Arabidopsis thaliana: one gene and its partner. The protein of the gene in region 2 purifies or fractionates together with the protein of the main gene of each other region. This does not show direct contact. Each region holds a gene or a part of one and is shown on either strand. Other genes may lie near its edges.

What was found. The genes of interacting proteins can lie anywhere in the genome.
Region 1: the proteins of ATZW10 (region 2) and MAG2 purify together in Arabidopsis thaliana (affinity purification with mass spectrometry; one study listed by BioGRID). This does not show direct contact.

The regions. Positions count from the first base shown.
Region 1 is NC_003074.8:17,583,101-17,588,400, forward strand, and holds MAG2 (RINT-1 / TIP-1 family), read right to left. Parts: upstream 3,608-5,300; 5' UTR 3,479-3,607; coding exon 3,184-3,478; intron 3,037-3,183; coding exon 2,935-3,036; intron 2,749-2,934; coding exon 2,648-2,748; intron 2,563-2,647; coding exon 673-2,562; 3' UTR 501-672; downstream 1-500. Other genes in the region: microtubule end binding protein EB1A, read left to right, coding at 91-246. UniProt on the Arabidopsis thaliana protein: Functions in the anterograde transport of storage protein precursors from the endoplasmic reticulum (ER) to the Golgi complex and in the retrograde transport from the Golgi complex to the ER.
Region 2 is NC_003071.7:13,951,665-13,958,287, reverse strand, and holds ATZW10 (centromere/kinetochore protein, putative (ZW10)), read right to left. Parts: upstream 4,624-6,623; 5' UTR 4,482-4,623; coding exon 3,924-4,481; intron 3,826-3,923; coding exon 3,688-3,825; intron 3,581-3,687; coding exon 3,407-3,580; intron 3,273-3,406; coding exon 3,111-3,272; intron 2,986-3,110; coding exon 2,755-2,985; intron 2,665-2,754; coding exon 2,551-2,664; intron 2,472-2,550; coding exon 2,379-2,471; intron 2,247-2,378; coding exon 2,151-2,246; intron 2,000-2,150; coding exon 1,871-1,999; intron 1,775-1,870; coding exon 1,697-1,774; intron 1,606-1,696; coding exon 1,447-1,605; intron 1,366-1,446; coding exon 1,236-1,365; intron 1,123-1,235; coding exon 1,040-1,122; intron 902-1,039; coding exon 818-901; 3' UTR 540-817; downstream 1-539. Other genes in the region: RALFL17 (RALF-like 17), read left to right, coding at 4,997-5,230; AT2G32885 (Rapid alkalinization factor (RALF) family protein), read right to left, coding at 5,808-6,026. UniProt on the Arabidopsis thaliana protein: May be required for accurate chromosome segregation. Required for proper maturation of seed storage proteins. Forms a complex with MAG2, MIP2 and MIP3 on the endoplasmic reticulum that may be responsible for efficient transport of seed storage proteins.

The DNA of each region.
Region 1 (5,300 bases), on a different chromosome or scaffold from region 2:
CGACCGCATTTTATGTTTTTCATCATATGAACTCAACTTTATGAACATAATTTTGTTTGAATCTGATATATATGCTTCCCTGGAATGCAGATAGTGGTAGCAGTGAAGAAGATACTGTATGCAACCGATGCAAATGAATCTGCATTAGAAGACGCTCAAGAGTACCTAAACCAGTCCCTAGGAGTTGAAGATGATGAAGCTGAAGGAAACGGAGAACAACTGGAAGAAGAAAAGACTCAAGCCTAAGCTCTGACTATTAACAATCCTAAGTAGAAGGGTGACGAACAATGGCTGGCCATGGCCTTCTCTTCCAAGTTTCTTTTGTGAAAGGAAACTAACTGAAACTTGAAGATGAATGAGCTTCTTCTATTAGAAAGATTAGTTTGAAAACAAAGAGACTTATTTTTGTTACTATTCAAGAGGCTTTTTTCTTGTTTTAAAACAATACTTTGACCCAAAGTGAGAATTTAAGTGTCGGTGCTTCCTTTTTGTTTTGTTTCTCTATTAACTCATGAATCATTAATTTAAGACGAAACAGAACCAGAGCTGGTTAGTTCAATTTCAATTAAAAATCCAAAGTTGTGTGTTATATCTTAATCCACAAATAAATGAAATGATCTCACCTATGAATGTACCTTCGTATGAGATATTGATTTGCTGAAAAATATCTAACTAAGAGAACACTCTACTCTTCGCTACCTTCTTGGCTTCGGCTTCACTCAAATATCGAATTCTATTCTCACGTAGCCACTTATCGCCTCTACTCAGACCGTCCTTCACTTGCTTCTCTTCCATCTTCAGAAGCGTAAGCCCCTCACTTAGTTTAGGAAAGAAACCTTCGGGTCTAACACACCACGTCCGGAAAACCCCATATAGAACCTCCATGTCTACTTTTAACCTTTCGACTCCATCATTGGTAAACTTCACGTTCGCCATCAAGATGCTGTTGAAGAACAACTTGTCTATCTCTGAGGCTAGAGTTCTCCACATAGCGGTAAAGTCTGCTTTGTTTAGATTTTCTTCTATTATAGACGTTTTTCCTTGCAAGTAGTCTAGAGCCCCAACTAGTGCCCTTGACACCGTCCATTCTTTGTCTTTCTTCTCCTGCCATTGCTTTCTGTTTTTTATGTATTCTCGGATTCGAGCATCAAAGCCTCTCAAGATCACCACCGACAATTTGTTTATCCACTCTAGCCGGAACTTCTCCAACTTTTCAAATTCTTCTCCGAAAATACCTTCAGAAGGTTCAGTAAAGTTCTCCAGTCCTGGAACTTCCTGTGGATCGTGCTGTCCAGTTCCCATTTCAAGGAAAAAGACATCCTCAGACCATTCTTCTAAGACAGATTCAATGTAGTGACCAGCATTAATAGAGTTCGAGACCTTGATTAGATCGTTATTTTCAGTTAATGCAGTTAGTCCGTCGGCGTCTTGGCACCTGAGAAGGAGGCAATCCAAGAACTTATGAATTGTTGGTGAGGCTGCCAGTCTCAGGAACCTAGCCCTCAAATATAAGGCCGGCACTGATTTGGATCGTTCGATTATTGATGACAAATGCTGTAGAAAGATGCTGGAAATGATTGGTGGTCTGTAAACGTTGGAACTGGAGATGAGTTCGTCTTGGACCTTCGCTGTCCAATTTCTGTCGTTATCAATCTCCTCCTTGAATTTGACGAGCCTCTCATCTAGCTCTATCTCTGCCCATAAATCAAGCCAATCAGGTCTGTCACAGAAAACTGAGAGAGAGGAAATTCTCAAAAGATTCCCATCTTCTTGAAGCGAAAGTATTCCTGATTGTGATACCAAAGACTGAACTCGCTTATCAAAGGAGATCATCAGGTCAATGAGATGGAGCCACGAGACCTTAGCCTCAGAACGAAGATCAGTTTCATTTGCTTCGTCTAGCTGACCAACATATATAGGAAAGATCTCTTTCACCAAGTACAAAGACAGTGAGCTTACCATAGCCGAAACCCACTCTTCTCGGCAACTGTACCCAGCTAGTTTTGCTTCATCCACAAGCGGTTGTAACAACTCATCCATAGAATCGACATAGTCCCTTGTGATTTTATACACAAGGGCAAAAATGAATTCTGGCTTTTCACTCCACTTTGTAAAATGTCGCTGAGATGCAACTGTCAGAGGGTTGACCAGCTCTTCAATAGCCCAGAGTGGCTGGTGGAAAAGAACATTTTCTCCCTTATGGATCCCAAGCTGCCGCGACTTTCTTTGCAACTGTAACCCCTGCAGGCTACACAAGGCATGAAAACTTCCACAGTATTGACTTTTGAGGCTCCCTTCCATGTTGAAAAGCGGATTTTGAACATTTTCTGACTTTGAATCAAGACTTGCCGAAGTTAGTGTAGAAAGCTGAGGTGGCCATCGAAGAGAAGAAAGCAACGCTCTGTAATCAGCAATTGCCTGAGGTCTCATCATAGCTAAAGCTCTATCAACTCTATGATCAACAGCAGAAACAAGACGTGCCCACCGAGGATGTCTCTTTGCTACTGAACTCAGTATCTCTTCTGTCGTTTTAAGTGTTTTAATAGCATGTAGACGCACTTCCTGAAATCAGTAAAAACTTAGAACATTGAACCACACACACTGGCTAAAACTACGGAACAGTCTAAGCTGAAGACAGTGTGCTTACTTCAAAACCACTTGACCGAGATGTTCTTAAGTTTTTATTCAAAGAAGACATCACAGCATCCTCAATATCACCAACTAAAGTGTCAAGTTTTAGTGCAGTCTCTGAAACATAGAGAAAGATCTTAAAATGTTGAATACCACAGTGACCAAACTAAGAAAGAAGGTTGGTAACTCCAACTTTGGGACTAACTAATCCCGATCAACATCGATAACACCAAATCATAAAATAGAGCTAGTCTTTATCAGAAAGCAGCCATCAAATACAAAACGCCTTAACACCAAACATACCAGCATAAGCACGCACAGACTCAACTTGTGCTACTTCCTTTGCTAATGAAGGAAGATCCTCTCCGGCTACATGCTCCGTCGCCTCCTCCTCCTTTCCGCTATCTGAATGAATTAAACAATTATCAAATTCTCAAATTATAACGGGAATATATTCAATCTTCCATCACCAGGACTGAATTTACATATTTGACTACAACATTTCAAGAACATAATCTACATCCAGAAGAATCGTGATGAAATCATACGAACCTGACGCGGAGCGAGTAACGGAGGTAGAAGAAGAGAGATCAGCCAATTTGGCATTAACCTCGAAAAATAGACCACCGACGCGATCGGAAAACGAAGCGTAAGCAGCGAGACCTGACTCGAGCTGGCGATTTAATCCGGCCAATCTCTGATCCAATTCGGAAATCTCCGTCTGTAACTCGGAAACCAGACCCGTAGAATGAGAGAGATCCGTGGATTCTTTGAATCTGCCATCGAGAAAGCTAAATACCGAAGCGGAGAAGCTCGAGACCTGTGGAAGTGGTTTGATCGCCTCCATTTGCGATTCGTCGTGGCCTCAGTTTCATCAAGAACAATGAAAAATTGAAATTTCGTTGGAAGAAGATACTGAGTCAATGACTCGGAGTGTTAACGAGTTGCGAGTTTTGGTAACTCGGATTAATGGGCCCTGGTTAAGCCCACAAAAATGTTTTTAACATATCAAGTAAATTAAAACTGTAATGGCATTCTCAAAGAAATGACATTCTTTTATCGGAAAATTATCACTAAAATCTCCAACTTTTATTTGAAAACATTTGTTTAAATTCTCAACATCCAACGAAACGAAATAAATATCAAATTTATGTTGATTTTTCTAATAAATATCAAACTTATGTGACTTTCTTAATAAATACAAAATATTTGCTAATGGTCATATTAGACATGATGTTAAGTAGATTAACAGATTCCGTTAACAAAATTAATTTTTTATTAACATACCCGTTAATTCAAAACATTATTGCTTTCTATAACAACAAAACGTTATTGTTTTCTATAACAACAAAGCGAAAAAAAAACAAAAAAAAAACAAAGTGACGTCGAGCAAAATCTCCAAATTCAATCAATCATGGATCCCCAAATCGAGCAAAATCTTTAACCTTAAATTCCTATATGACTTGAAATTAAAAATTTAATTGACCCGTTATGACAAAAAGACGATGTTTTATTCTTAGAGAGAACGTTGTCATTTTCAATTAACGAGTCTATTAAGAGAAAATGAACTTTGATAGCAGGATTTGTTATCCCACTTAACGGTATGTCTAATATGGCTATATCAACAAAATTTTATTATTTATTTGGAAAGTCAATAAAAGTTTGGTATTTTACAGTATTTGAAAAATCGACAGAAATTTGATATTTATTTTGTTTCGTGGAAAATTGAGGATTTAAATTAACGTTTTAAACAATTTGAGGATTTTGATGACATTGTTTCCATTCTTTTAAGCCAAATTAGGATAATTAATCAATGGAATCGCACCAGCAAACTCAGGATTAGTATTTTGCATGCATTTCATATAAAACCGAGAGTGTGATGTACACGCGCATGTATATTTAAGTACATATGATTCCTAAAATAAACAATAAATTTCGAGTTGTCTAAGGAAATGTGTAGTATTGAGTCTCGTACATATTTGTATATATAAATCATCTTACACAATAACATAGAAGCGAATCATTGAGACAGAAACCATATGGCAAAGAGATCTCCGTAATCTTTCTTGGAATTCTATCGTACTAAAATCTAATAAAGTTCTATCAATATTTTAAAGACTCCTTCAACTTGGGTTTCTTCACACTTTCAAAAACAATATTTCATGTGTTTTCTTTTTGTGTACAACCTCTAAACTTGGTTGGATATAAAAAACACACAACATCGAAAATTGGTTGGGTGTTAGTGTGGGCTAAAAATTCTAATTTCCCAAGGATTCTTAGTTTGTGTATTTCTAATGTCCTTTGTATTTCTTATAATTTTGTTTGGCACGGATCATCTCTGTTTTAGGTTCTCTACTTTTTGTAATACATAATCTTAATCATCTAATGATATTATTTGGAATGAAAAAAGTGGAGCAATGACATTTAGCAAGAAACAAGTTTCTGTTAAAAAAAAAAAAAGTTTCTGTTTACATTTGAAAAATTTCAGAACTGATTATTACAATGAGAAGTAGACTTGAGAACTTGTAATCAATTGAGTGTGTATACCGTACGCTAAAAATTAATATTATATTAGAAAAGTTAAACCAAAGAAATAAAAACTAAATTAAAAGAGAGTACACATCGTGATTCTTCGCTGTATATTCCAAAAACTCATGTGCCCCGACGAG
Region 2 (6,623 bases):
GATAGATGTGTGGTGTTATTAAATAGAAATATATGACGTCATCTCAAGTTCTTGATAGATCACTAAATCTAATAAGATCTTCTAATGAAATTTTTCCTTTTCGGGCCCTTAATTATGACCGTTATGTGATTTTGTTAACATTTTAAACATGTGGCCAACATAAGGAAAAATACCAATGTCGACAAAAAAAAAAAAGGAAAAATACCAATGTCTCTTAACTCTATTTCTTAATGTAATTTTGTTGGTTTATGAGACCAAAATATTTTCCTAGTGTTCATAACTTAATATTAGTTTATGAAATAGTTTTTAATATAATATTAGCATCTAAACACATCATACATTATATTTGAATAAGTATATCAAAAGTTTAATTTCATTGAAAATCATTGTATCAATAATTTCATAGAAATATTTAGTGTTTTCATGTGTTACGGTTTTCAATATCCTATCAGTTTCTTCTTTTTTATTTTTATTTTTTTTATATTAGTTTCTTAGTTAAGGGTTTTCAAGTTTTTAGCTAACTGGAAAATGCAATATTTGGAGAATTTGTACCGGAAAATTGTTGTTACCCAGAGCGTTTTACTTGTTGAATCTAAAGCCCAAATGTACAACAAAATCTGGAACACGCTTTTAAACCTAAAGTTTTAAACTCATCAGCTAAAACTCTCTTTACATATATATTCTTACACAAGAGTGCGTCGTCGATGTTACAAGCTGCTGACATTAAAATACCTCATGGCTCTTTTGCCAAAATAGGCTTTCACTTGCTTCTTCTCACAAGTCTTGAGTTTTTTTTTTAAGTTTTATCATTTCCAATCTACTGGTTAACCTCGTCTATCCTCCATAAGCATTCTTTTCTCAGCGGCGAATCTGTAAATATAGCTTTGATGAAATCTTGTACCTGTAACCAAGTACATTCCAAAAGCTTTCAGAATCACCATAACCAATAATCAAAGATCCAATAATCACCATAAGAAATAGCCTTAATCCATATATCAGGTAGTAGGACACGAGGTCAAACGATTTAAAAAGATTGTACCTCTGTTCTTGTGAAATTGCATCTAAATAACTCCCCGCTTTCCCAAGCTGAAGTTATAGACATGAGAGGCATATCCAATAGTTCTGGAAAATGATAAACAATAAGAAAAGCCATGGTAAGAAAACTTCGCTGCGCCAATGTCAAGTTAGCAATAAACTGAGGGATATTTAAAAGAAAAAAGAAAGAAAAGACATGCCTGCTAGTTTACGGGTTTTGCGCAAAGATGGTATGATATCATCAAGAGGACGAGAAGTCTCATCTGCAGATCTCACGGAATCGAGTACAGAAGATAGATTCTTCAACATGAGATAAATCAGTTTTTGTAGCTGAGAATATATAAGCAAACATTTTCATTACGCAGTTAAAATATAACATTGCAGAAGCGACTAGCAAGGAGAAACAGCTACCTCGAAAGTTTCGTCAGCAGCCATGTCGTCTAGAAGAAGAATATCTCTAGCTATTCTGCGAAATACAGACTCCAAAACTGCGCACATGCTTTGCTTGTAAGTTTTGGGCCGTAAGACTGGCTCCCATATCATATGCACATTCTTTAGACTAAAGACAACCTATAAAACAATTGCATTTTCCTCATATAACTGACACTTTATTGGAAAGAAGGTAAGAGAAAAGCAAACAATTTCAAGTCTGTGTGTTTACCTGATCAATGCTAAATTCTGCAGATTTAAACTGTTTAATTTGATGAGTATTCTGAAATCCATCTGCACTATCTATAGCCTGATCGTAGATGCAAAATGTTAGACGAGGAATCAATACTGAGTACATAATATTACTTTGTAAGATTTAAGCACAGTTTTTTCCACACAGATTCACCTCTCGCAGACTTGAAATTACTAGATGAACTTGTTTTTGCAAAACTTCTTCGGCCATCAGTTTAAATCTTGGGGCTATGTCAGCAAAGACTGCATACTCCTTGATGGAGCTAGGGAAGCTAGCACGATACTGTGAACAAAAAATGATGATAAAGTCAGCAGAAGGGGATAATTATAACTTTCACCTGTCAATGAAAAGGATGCTTAAGAAGACAATTACTTAACCGAAAAAAAGAAATTAAAAATAGCGGTTTATCTTGCTTAAGACACATTGTTCATACCTCAAAAGCAAGGCCAAGTATCTCTTCGAACAAATATAGACAATCGTTGTGCAGAAGAACAGCAGCTTCATTGAGGCCATCGAGTTGTTTCTCTAGCTTCACATTTCAACGGAGTAAGGAAAAAGAAGAATAAGAATTTGTGCATATTGGTGAGAAATTTCCATGTGACGACAGTCACTATATTGATTCAGTTGTTAAATCTTCATTGAAAACTATTTTTTTACTGACCTTGACAGGAACAACAGCTTCATATAGAAGGATAGAATCTCTAGCAGCGTTGTAGAACTCTGAAGCAACCCTTGCAGAAGAAACACAGACATCCTGTATAAAAATGAGTTTATTATCCCAACCGTGTCTGGAAAAAGCTTATATTGAATTGCAAAAGTCTGAAAAGAGCCACCTCGAGCGTCTTATGCACCAAATTCATAAGTTGAGATGCAGCTTCAGATACCACACACCTTTCAGAGGAGAAAAGTAAGCAGACGATGTGCTTGGCATTCCTCATAGCAATATCCTGGAAAACGGAGTTCACAATCCTGATCTTTCACATGAAAAGGTTAATGCGGTAAATATGACATGATGATGATGAAAATCAAAAGCCCACCTGGGGAATCGTAAAGTTACACTGCAACAGCAAATTTCTTGCTTTTGCTAGGATTTCTATCTTCTTTCTAGATGCAAAATGAACCTCCACATCTTCAGCATATTTGCTGAGCCTACTCTCTGCGTCAGATGATGAAACAAAATTCAGTTCCTTTAGAGCGGCTTCGAATTGAGAGGTCCGCTCGATAATTTTCTGAAAGTCAGCAAGTTTTGAAGCATCTTCTGGGACAACCTGACTCCAAAGAAAACAATAACCTTTAAACAGACTACAACAGTTAAAGTACAAAGGAGAAGAGTGCTCTCACACCAAAGAAATTTCTACAAAATTTCACAACTTCACGAGTTCTAAAAGCAAACCTTTGAAAGAAATTTAGATATAATTAACTCTGATATCCTCGGCCATGTCAACCTCCCAAAAGAATGGATCCATGTAACGTTTCCAAAGCACAAGGAACTGCAAATGAACTTAACAACCTTAAGAATTCCAGAATACATTGCATCTCCATCCACATCTTCAAACTGCATTATTAAGTGGGTAAGTATTTAAAGGTTCAGAAGACATAGACCAAATGCAGGAAATATAAAAAGCACATAATCTATATAGGCTAGAGACAAAGAAGATATTCATGAGATGGACAGAGGCTTCTCTAGACCTTATGATCTGAGGATTGCTCTAGCCTTAGTGTCGCTTCGGTGACTTCCCCTGCGGATTTACATAAATCTTCCACAGCGGCAAAGGTAGATGCATGAGTTACAGCTGGAGTGATGACATGCTTAAAGATTGAGTCAGCTGCTTTCGCAAGCCCATAGTCTAATATTCCAATCACCTAGATAAATCCAGAACAGTCAAATGCCAAAAAGTGTAATCTAACAAATGACTTAACACAGAAATAAAAATAAAAATTGATACAGAAGTCAAATCATATATCCATACCTCCATTGCCTCTAGAACAGTACTAAGAGCGATTCCAGCAGTCTCACCAACGCTTAGCTGATACTTAATCCGGATTCTACTCGAGTCTAGCTCAAAACGCACTGCATTCTCCATGAACTTTGCAAGCACCTCTTGAATCTGCAAAACACATACACGATTCTTTGAAATGTGGATGCAAATTCGAAGATTAAAGACACTAAGCTAGCCATTGGCACTGAGTTTAACTAAGGTTGCACCTCGTCAAAGCAATTAGACCATTCCTTCCTAAGTAAAGCGTAAGCCACAGGTTCTCCATCTTCCTCTTCACCAATTCTCAATACAACTTTAAGTTCTCTGATTCTCTCAGCGGCGAATCTGAAACGTCCATTTTTCAAAGCTTCCTTCGTTTCCTGCAATGCCTCACAAATTCCCACGATCGCATTCACTAAATCAAGAGATTCTCTTTTCAATTTCACTTCCTTAGTCTTTTCCGTTATCTCATCTACCACACTGCGTATCTCAACATCAATCGGACGGTCAGAAACCAATTGTAGGACATCGGAGACGTCATCGGAGATCAGACGAGTCCTCGAGACGGTGTCTTGACAAAGAGAAAATAGCTCCGAGAAATCAGAGTGATGAGCGACGAGATAAGACTGAACTTTGGACTTGATCCGCAGAGAATGAGACTCTAAGCGGTTTATGAGGAGACGGAGATCCGGTGCAGATAACGGAGTTGTGGGATCGTTTAGATCGTGTCCGGCGAGAAGGTCCCGAACATTGATCGATTCAAACAACGCGTCTATCTCCGGCATGACGGAGGGACGGTGGTCGTTGTCGTCGGGGCTCTTTTCCGATTAGAGAGTAATTGGCGGTGATAGATTTGGCGGTGACGATGGACCTTATTGAACACGGACGTTTTTATTTTACTTTTACTATTGGGCCTATCAAATAAAATGTTAGGCTCAAGGCCCAAGTCTTCATCGGGAACTTGTAATAATGTATGTTTTTTGACATCGAAAACATGTCATTTTTTTGTTCCTTGTCACTAACGTACCACTTATTTAAATGATTTTCTTTATTTTTGCTATGAATATTCAAGTAAAATACTGCAACAGTTACTTAGCCTTAAGACCAGCTCAAAAGAAATCACTCTACTCCATTAATAGTAAATTCCATTTCTTATATAAGCACAATTGTAAGAGAAAAGCATAACAAAAGAACATAGTAAATAAAAAGAACAAAAGCTTTTAAAGTAAGTTGGATTAATCTATATTATCATTTGTTTTTCAGACAAGAGAAAGAGAGATAGAGAGAAAGTGTCTGATCCATGGCTGCATCTAGAGAATTTATTATATGTTGCTTCTTAACACTTCTCCTATGCAATTTCTTCATGAGAGTCGAGTCTGGTGCTGCTGCTGACGTCAGTAGAGGAGGATGCGGCGGCGGCGATGGCAGCCTCGGGGACGATAATGAGCGGTGTGTGGAGGCGGTGAAAGAAGACGACGACGATGATGTGGATGATGTTTACAAAGTGATCAACAAGATGAGGATATATGCTTGATCATGCATGCATGATGCATTCTTTATATATAGGGCTATTTATTTATTACTTTTTTTTCGTTTCCATTTTCTTTTCTCAAGTTTTTTCCGATTCTTCTGTTTTTCTCTTAATCTATTTGCTTTTTCTTTTTTCCCCTTAATGAGAGAGATTATGATCCGAAGAAGAACCTGTTGCCTTAAATATATGGTTTACTAACTTTCTTGGATCCGACAAGAATGTACTTATCCTAGCGTTACACATTTTACCTCTATTATAAGTACATTATTTATTTAAAAAAAACAACAAAATATATTAATTATTTTCTTATATAACAATACACATGAATTTTCTACATAAATATCCAAAAATATAACAAATGACTGGTAATATACAATTATCTTTTGCTAAGTTAGACAATACTAGCTTACCATACACGTACCAGTCTCAGCTTGCTGCTACTTAAAAAAACATTATTCTCATAGAATTAGTTACAAAAATTTTGTATTTTATAGTTTTACTAATTTAGTTGAAAAATTAAGTTTTATTTATGTAATTTTATCTTTTCTTCTTTTTTCAAGAAAAATTATATCTCATAGTATCAACCCCCACGACATCTTTGGCTAGCTTCGCAACCTGGTTTATACGGATTAGCCGGTTGCATCTTGCAACCAGCTGAAGATCCAGGAGCACAACCTTTGGGTAAATCTTCTCGCATAGCTGGAGCGCCTATACTGTTTGCCTCCGTTGTGCTCATGACGATAGATATAATAATTATAAGAGCAAATGATTGTACAACTGTTTTCTTGGATATACCCATTTTTCCTTATTGATAAACTTTTTTACTTTTTACTTCTTATTCCCAATAAACATTTGCGCTATTATATAGTGAAGATTTGTTGCTAAATAAAGAATTTTCTGATTGGTTTAGTCATTTGTAACCGTTGAATGTTTTGTCGGGTTTGCGCATTGTTTGGTGAACCATACTTATTATTATTATTTTTGTAAAAATAAAGATATCTCTAATCAAAGCCGTTTCTAATATTTTAGAGGCCAAAACAACTAAAGAAAATATTAAAATATGGTCGTTTTTTGATATTCAAATAAAAATTCGTTATAAGTTTTACTTCAAATTAAAACAAAAATTAACATAGTACTGTTAAATAAGTACATTATACCATATCTTGGTTCAAAATTTGTAGAGATATTGTAAACAAAACAAATAATGAAGAAAAAAAAAACAAAAAAGCCATGAAGAATGTTTCATAAAAGTAAAATTTCTAAATATAAAGTAAACAAAAGAGAGAGAGAAATGTTTTAAGTTAAATAGATGTTAAATAAAAAATGGATGTAAGAAAAAAAAGTTATTGATAAAAGAAGAAATATATCTAGGCACATTGCATTGTGTTGCTCGTCT